Schizosaccharomyces pombe: one gene and its partner. The protein of the gene in region 1 binds, or shares a complex with, the protein of each later gene. Each region holds a gene or a part of one and is shown on either strand. Other genes may lie near its edges.

Region 1 (4,056 bases):
ATCTTCCTCAGACCCCTCTACTTCCAAAGGTGGACCAGCAAATGCTGCATGTAAAGCTTCAAGTTCTTTCGAATCCTCGATAAGCTTAGCCCTTTCTTCGATAGATGAACCTTCAGCAGTTCTGATTAGACTTTTAATAAAATCATTTTCATTGACTTTTCTTCTAAGTTCTCCATTCGAAACCGCATGTAGCAATCCAATCGTTCCGCAAGCATTTGGAATTGTTTGAGGGTACCACAAGACTTTGTCACTATCCTTTGGTAAAATTCGTGATCCTTTATATATAGTTTTTGTTCCTGAGGATGGAAAAACGAATAAAAGAGCATGGACAGGACGAGGGATATATTCGGGGATTTCCTCTAATGAAAACAGGTCAAAAACGCTAGCATCTTGTACACCGATTTTTTGTAAGTAAGGTTCCAGCACCTCTGGTGTATTTTCTAAAGGCCTCCACATTGTAATTTTTCTCGAATGATAAATGGCTCTAATTGAGGCTTTTTTGATCAGGTTTGGAAGGCGTGGCAGAGGTCTCAGAAGTCAGCAAAGAGGCAAAACACCAAAGTTTGACAAAGTTAATCGAATATCTTTAGATTGCCAATTTTGGGAATCTACAAAAAAGCTTTACTATAATCAGTATCCTATACTTCAATATCCTGTCACGTTCAGCTATGAAGATGACTGTAAAAATAGGGATTGTTCCATAGGTATATTATAAATAGAGTCATAAAATATTAATAATTACCAAGATTTACCTATATACATTTACTGTAAAATCTAAAATTCTGGCTTCGAAGTCCAACCAACGTTCTTATAGGTAGTGTTGAAATATTTGCACGAATAAAGATTTTTCAAAATGAAGATACTAAGAGTTAGAAGACCTTAAGTTTCTGAGAAGTTCAGCAATATAAAGCTCCACGTGCGATTTCAATTTTTCGAATTCCATAGTTATAGAGGATATTTGAGACTCCAGTTCTTCTCGCATTCCAGCAATTTTTTGTTCGGTCATCTCTATCATGGCATTTTTCTTTTCAGTCTCCTGAATCTTTTTATTCCTTTCTTGGGTAATTACTTTGTATTCTTCCCGTATGTTGTCCATTCGTTGTTTGGCAGCCTCAAGTTTTTGATTTCGAGAATGTTGTTCATGCTCGAGTTTTTCTTGAGCATTAGATAATTGCTTTAAAAGTTGTTCTTTTCTGAACTCAAGTTTTTTTTTGTTTATTTCTATTTGATCGCAAAGCTCTTGATTTGTAGAAAGCAACACAGTAGCATGTTCCAGTTTATCCAATTCTACAAGACATTCTTCAAGCACTTTCAAACAAGCATTCAAGTCTCCTTCAATTAACTGTAAACTGTTCAATTTTGTATGCAGAATTTTTGACTTTTTATCCAGTTCCACTTGCTGCGACCGATCATTTTGTATCCGTAACGATGTGTCTGCTATCTTTCCTTTCAGCTTTTCAGGAGAATGTACAATAGAGGACTGAAGTTTTTCAATTTCTTCCAAAGTACTGGCCATTAATGAATCGACGTTGTGATACCTAATCTTTAACTCTGAGGCCTCCATTCTAATGCGATCATATTCTGTACGAACTTGAGAGCACAATCGTTTGTCTTCTATCAAAGACTGAAACATTTCTTCGTTTCTTTCTTCATTCTGTTTAATAATTGCCTCACTTTCCAATTTCCTATCTTGGCTTAACAAAACTTTTTCCTCTAAATCTTTTCGTTGTGCATCTAAAAGGGTATACGTTTCCAGAAGGCTTTCTCGCTTCTGTATATCATCATCAAATTGCTGTAACCTCTCTTCTCTGAGTTTTGCAAAATTAATAACTGCTGATAAAATTAGTTGTAGTCGATTTCTGTCTGGTTTCAATAGGTCTTGAATCGTAAAGTCATGAAAACAGATGTTTTGCATGAATTGACTTAAAATCTGATAAAAAACAGTAAATCTTAAAGACTCATGTATTATCTCGAAATTCTCGACAGAATCTTGTAACGAATTAACCTTCTCTTCTAAATTCTGGCGGGTCAACCCCATAAACAAGTCAAGAAATTCTTCATACAGAGGGATGACGGCTTTCGAGGTTGGTTGGTCAAGCTCTTTAGCCGTGAATGGAATTCCAAGACCATCTATGCATTCTAAAATCTCAGCACGCTTCAAAGAAGGAAATGTGTGTTTTCGTGCCATGGTAAAGTTGATGGTTAACTGAACAACTGGATTTTACGTATTTAATCTGCTTTGATTGTGAATTTAATTATAAATATAATAAAATAAAATTTAAATTTTTTATTTAGTTGCATGTTCTAGATATTCAATTTTTCATTCTTTTTAAAAAATCAAGAACAAAGCTGAATTTCGTATAAGTTTTTCTTCTGTCATACATAGTAAATTAACAACTCCGTTTTATATATCTTTTTTAAAAAGTGAACGATTTGATTTAAAATAGTTCTATATAGTTTATATAATTTTACAATCGATGGTTTATCTCAAACGTTGCATGTAAGCAAGAAACAATATAAGGAGCATATAAAAGCTGAAACTAGATAAGAAGATAAAAAAATTAACATTTATGCCTGATGACCCAACTTTACTAAAAGCCTGAAAGGGCTAATGATAGATGAAACCAAAGTTTTAGGTTGACTTGGCTGCAACAGCTTCCTTAACCTTAGCATCAAACTTTGCAACAGCAGATTCAACGGCTGACAAACCTTCGTCTAAGTCGGCTTCTGGAATAGTTAAAGGAGGAAGGAAGCGGAAAACTGAAGGATTATTGAGTGAACAGTAGACTTGGACGTGATATGTATCGGCAAGGTCATTGACAATAGGAGTTGCATAGTATTCGCCGAATTCTTCTTGAACTGACTCAGGAATGGGATAAAATTCAATACCAACTATCATTCCTCGACCACGAACATCCTTCATAACATGAGGGAATTTTGTTTGAAGTTTATTAAGACGATCAAACATGATACCACCTAACTTGCGGCATCTAGAAAGAAGGTCGTTTTGCACGATATAATCGATGGTAGCAACACCGGCGGCAAGTCCAAGAGTGTTTTCTTGATAAGTGGCAGTGTGCAGAAAAGCCGTTTCAAGGGAATTGTAAGCAGCATTCCAAAGCTCCTCTGTAGCGATATACCCTGCAAATGGAATGAGTCCGCCTGAAAATCCTTTGGCGAAAGCGATACAATCCGGAATGATGTTTTCGTATTCACAGGCCCAGAATTTACCGGTACGACCACAACCGGTTTGAATTTCGTCTAAAACGAGATATGTATCGTACTTAGTGCAAAGTTCACGAGCCTTTGCAAGATAACCTGGAGGAGGGACAATAACACCACCTTCGCCTTGAATAGGCTCAACAATGAATGAACGGTACATACCAGAGGATAAGGCAACTTGAAGTGCTTCCGCATCACCGTAAGGGACGTAGTCAACGTCGAAAGGAGCAGGACTTTGATATTTTTGCCATTTTTCTTTGCCGCCTAAAAAGACGGCACCAGTGGTTTTACCATGGAAAGAGTTCAAAGTAGAAAGAAACTTTTTCTTGTTAGGCTTATAACGGGTAGCAAGGCGAATCAATTTAATAACTCCCTCATTAGCTTCAGCACCACCGGTTGCAGTCCATGTGCGAGTAAGTTTTTGACCAGGAGATAGCAAAGCCATATTGCGACCAAAGGCAGCTGCAAGGTTACGATAGGAAATGGCACCCATCATATATAACTTGGCATCAAAGCATTTCTGTAAGCAATCCCAAACATACTGATTGTTGTTACCGACCGTTACGACTCCAACGCCTCCAATTAAGTCCAGATGCTCAGTACCCTTTTCATCAACAAAACGAGAATTATCAGCTTTCACAAAATTGCGAGCGTGGCCATGGACAGTGCGTAACTTGTTTAAGTGGTCGAGTTGTAACTTGACAGTCGTTTCTGGGTCCATTTTCATGGCTTCGTCGAAGCACCACAAACCCTCAGGATAATTGCTGGCTGTTCCATTTTCGGAGGAGGCATCGGTTTTTGAACCATTTGTGTTAAGTTCAACCGTCTTTGAGG
Region 2 (4,146 bases), on another chromosome or scaffold:
GCAGGTGGTGCCGCTTTCCCTCTTTTCATTGATTATATGATGGATGGTATGACTCGTCAATGGGCCTTCTTTTTGTTGGGTATGGTTGCCGTTGCCGCTATTCCCATTCCTTTCACCTTTTACTTGTTTGGTGATAAGATTCGGGCTAGATCCAAGGCCGCTATTGTTTAAAACAGCTTGTTTTGTGTCTTTTTTTTCGTTATGCATTTGGTTTGCGTTGTGTACATGCAAGGAATTTAAAGCCTCTATTATTTCAGTTGGCTATCCCACTTTTTTAAAAGATATGCCAACAATCTTGGCTTCGTAAAGCGGTCAGAATTTGCTGCTTTGCTTTTTTCGCCTCAGGGATCATTCCATAAGTGAACTTAGATATGTTCCTTAAGCATGCTTCCACCTATCCATTGCTAAAATTTTTTAAAATTCTTTAGCTCATGTCCCCACAGTTTCAGTTTGGGTTTGGGATTTCTTGAATTTGTCTCCAATATTGGTGCACCGTTGCGTTTGAGAAGCTGCCTTAATATTTAAATAATGTCCAAGCTTCATAGAAATCGTGGTTTTTTTTTAATTTCATGTATGCGGTTTTGTGTTTGAAAGTTTTACGTTACTATTATGACGGAATTTACCACGTGTATTCTGGTTATCATAAAGCTATTGTTAATTACACGTTACATGTTTCGAAACCTGCGACGATGTCTGCTCTCGCTTTTTAAAATTTAATTATAGAATATAGACTTTAGAGATAAAGCTATTTATTTCTCAAATATTTCAAATTAATTAACTATGAAACCTTTGATAAATTCTAAATATTGGGTGAATAGTAGCAGTTATGTATCGTACATTGAGTGTAGATAGTAATGTGAGTGCGCGCTACTACTATAGGAGTTCCTTTGAAATAACGTATAACATGAATTTTCAAACACAGTCCAGCTGGTTTGCACACCTTCATTATTAGTTAATTAGCAGCAATGGCACGCAAAAAGACATAAAATTAACGTAAAAATAAGTAAAAATTTGGGCATAACAGTATCAGATTAATCCAATTTTAAACTGATTCGTTTGAGGAAGATTTATAGGAAGCTTCTGATAAAAGCCTTAATAAATTCATAGTATCCACATATTTGGAGAAGGACAACAAACTTTTACGATGGGCTATGAAATCCTGGGCAGCAAGGCGACCATATGATGATCGGACTTCAGGTCCAGCGTTAGTCAAAGAATGCAAGGTATGAATATTTTCAGCAAGCATGTCCAGGAGAGTGTGGAATTTTGGTTTCAGCTTACTTATATTAGGAAGTTCTGGTGCATCATCTGGGGGTAATGGAGAGTCCTGTTTATCAAGGTCTTGTTTAGAATCTATGGATTCTACAGCTTTTTTAAAAGATAAAATTGATTTATCTGAACTGACGGAATTAGCAGCAACAGCCCGCCATGCAGCTTCTTCATTATGGAGTTGGGTAAGCTTTGCCGACAGTTCGTCCACTAGCTGAGCATTTTTGAGATTTTGAGGATGAGGTTTATTAGGAATTACAGCATCAGGTGGTCTTTGATACCAACTAACACTAACTTTATTAGCCAATAATTCGTTAAGAACTTCTTGAACTATTGATCTAGCAATAGCTGCCTCACTGGCTTCCTCCGTTTCACCGTATTTTTTTCTTTGCTCTTCTAAGGCCTTTGAAGAAGCCCAAAGGAGAAGTTGTTTGATACGTAAAGGTTCGGATAAGTCTTTGGATATATGGCGATAGTATTCATGCGATGGAACATCTGCATGTGGTAAAGCTTCAAATCCAGTACCAATGCTACTAGCACGCTTACCCCGTTGGTCAAGACTACTCCTTCTTCCTTTACCCTTGCGAAGTTCTTTGTTTCGCTTCACAATTGGTGTATCAGACACGGGTAGCTCAACTAACCCATCGGTTTGGGAGGTATCTGGATCATCCTCCACAGATGATTTCCTTCTTTTAGAACCAGCTTTTTCTTTACCCTTCCTAACGAATACAAATCCTTCCTGCTCTTCAGGCTTTCGTTTCATAATGGATGCTGGTTAGGGTCAAGTCGAGTCAGGATTGCAAAGACTACCTTACTCATTGTTTACACTAGGTAACCTAACAAAGTATAGCGAGCGCGTTATAAGTCGGCCTTACAATTGAGCATTGAAAATTCATCAAAGCAAAGTATATTCATGTAGAGAATAAATAAAAAAATAAATAATGATTAAATTCTTTTTTACTGTTAAGTATTCCTTTCTTTTTGGAGATACACTTGTTACAACTTGGTATAAAATATTTGTTTAATTGCTAGATTATCTTCGAACTTGCAAAAACAAAAATATATATCCTTTTTTCTGCTGTAAAATAATAAGAATAATAATTTTAACATAATCCATTGAATGGTTGGTTAATTCCCCTTATAAATTCATAAGACCTCTTCTTATACTATATCAAGTTTACTGTTTATGTAATATATATATATATATATATATATAATTGAGGAATGCGACATGAAATGCTAAGCTGAAAAGTTATGCAAATTACAAAATGTGGATATTATTACCATTAAAACTGTTTACAGTTTTTGACAAATAGTCAAGATGTCCATGAGCTGCCAGGATTGAGCTTGTACTTTATCATAATTGTTGAAAAATATAGCGACGATAAATAAGATGAATAATCAAATATAAGTATAATGAAAAATATTCGAGTATTCTATATGTACAAAATCTAAATTGTAGTAATTTTCAGACTTAGCTGGTTATTGTTGATTTTAAATCGCTGCATATTATTTACAGAAAGTACCCAATTTTAGATTACATGGCTTTGCAGACAAGCCAGAACTTTAAGGATCCAGTATAGTTTTAAGAATTAAAAGTTTGAATTATCCTACTCTTAAAACACTTCCTATATAAAGTTGTTTCAAAATATTCTGCAGTCAAAAAGGCAACAGTAGTCGGTGTTTAAAGCTCTTTTTAACTTAAGTGAAGTAATAGTTTTCTTATTATAATTATTAATTTATTTGTTTTATTTATTTTAATTAAACATGGAATTTATAACCACAGCATGTCCTGTACAACTTACTTTTCGAGCACTTACTTAGGTTGCCATCATCCTCAAATACGAATTTATTTCGGAATTTTTAAATTCTTTATAATTGAAAAGAATCTTTACTGATTATCTGTTCTTAATCTGTCTCAGTGTATTGCCAAGATCTACGACGATCTGTCTCATCTCTCTTGTATCTTTCCTTTCTACTACATCGAAAGTTAGAGTTAACTGGATTCATTGAAACCAGGGTTTTTTGGAGCCAATTCTAAGTGGTATGTTATGTAATAGTATCCTTTTTGATAATTGTAATTGCTTTTGTTTCTCTGAAATTTTTAATCGATGTTCTATGTTATACTATATAGACCTCATACAGAAGAAGCATATTAAAACGAAATGAAAAGAGATCACACGGATTTTCTTTAAATACTTTGTTATTTTTATACCAAAAGCTAATTGTCTTCAAGTGGAATAGTTTAAACCTTCATTTCTACATCAAGTTCATTTCAAATGGCATTATTAAAAACTTCGTTGGATGCTCCATTCACTAAAATTGCTACCGGCAAAGTCAGAGACCTGTATGAGTGTGTAGAATTTCCCGATGATCTTTTGTTCGTAGCAACAGACAGAATAAGCGCCTATGATTTTATCATGGAGAACGGCATCCCTGAGAAGGGAAAGGTTTTGACAAAAATTTCAGAATTTTGGTTTGATGTTTTAAAACCTCATGTCCAAACTCATTTGATTACTTCTAGGTGGGAAGAATTACCTCCTGTTATCACGAAGCATGAAGAGTTAAAGGATAGATCCATGCTCGTTAAGAAATACAAGATTCTTCCTATCGAAGCTATTGTTCGTGGCTATATCACTGGAAGTGCTTGGAAGGAATATCAAAAGCAAGGGACTGTTCATGGCCTTAACGTACCTACAGGAATGAAAGAGGCAGAGGCCTTCCCTGAACCCCTTTTCACCCCCAGCACCAAAGCTGCCGAAGGCCATGATGAAAACATTCATCCTGATGAAGTCAGTAAAATTGTTGGACCTGAATTAGCCAAACAAGTTGCTGAGACTTCTGTAAAGCTTTACAAAATAGCCCGTGATGTTGCAT

What was found.
Region 2: nuf2 (region 1) and mis13 share a complex: the UniProt entries of both Schizosaccharomyces pombe proteins name them as parts of the NMS super complex.

The regions. Positions count from the first base shown.
Region 1 is NC_003424.3:4,321,020-4,325,075, forward strand, and holds nuf2 (protein Nuf2), read right to left. Parts: upstream 2,205-4,056; 5' UTR 2,189-2,204; coding exon 863-2,188; 3' UTR 501-862; downstream 1-500. Other genes in the region: ubiquitin hydrolase Uch1, read right to left, coding at 1-456; SPOM_SPAC27F1.05C (aminotransferase), read right to left, coding at 2,633-4,056. UniProt on the Schizosaccharomyces pombe protein: Acts as a component of the NMS (Ndc80-MIND-Spc7) super complex which has a role in kinetochore function during late meiotic prophase and throughout the mitotic cell cycle.
Region 2 is NC_003423.3:1,153,570-1,157,715, forward strand, and holds mis13 (MIS12/MIND complex Mis13/Dsn1), read right to left. Parts: upstream 2,053-4,146; 5' UTR 2,033-2,052; coding exon 1,043-2,032; 3' UTR 735-1,042; downstream 1-734. Other genes in the region: SPOM_SPBC409.08 (spermine family transporter), read left to right, coding at 1-171; ade7 (phosphoribosylaminoimidazolesuccinocarboxamide synthase), read left to right, coding at 3,549-4,146. UniProt on the Schizosaccharomyces pombe protein: Acts as a component of the NMS (Ndc80-MIND-Spc7) super complex which has a role in kinetochore function during late meiotic prophase and throughout the mitotic cell cycle.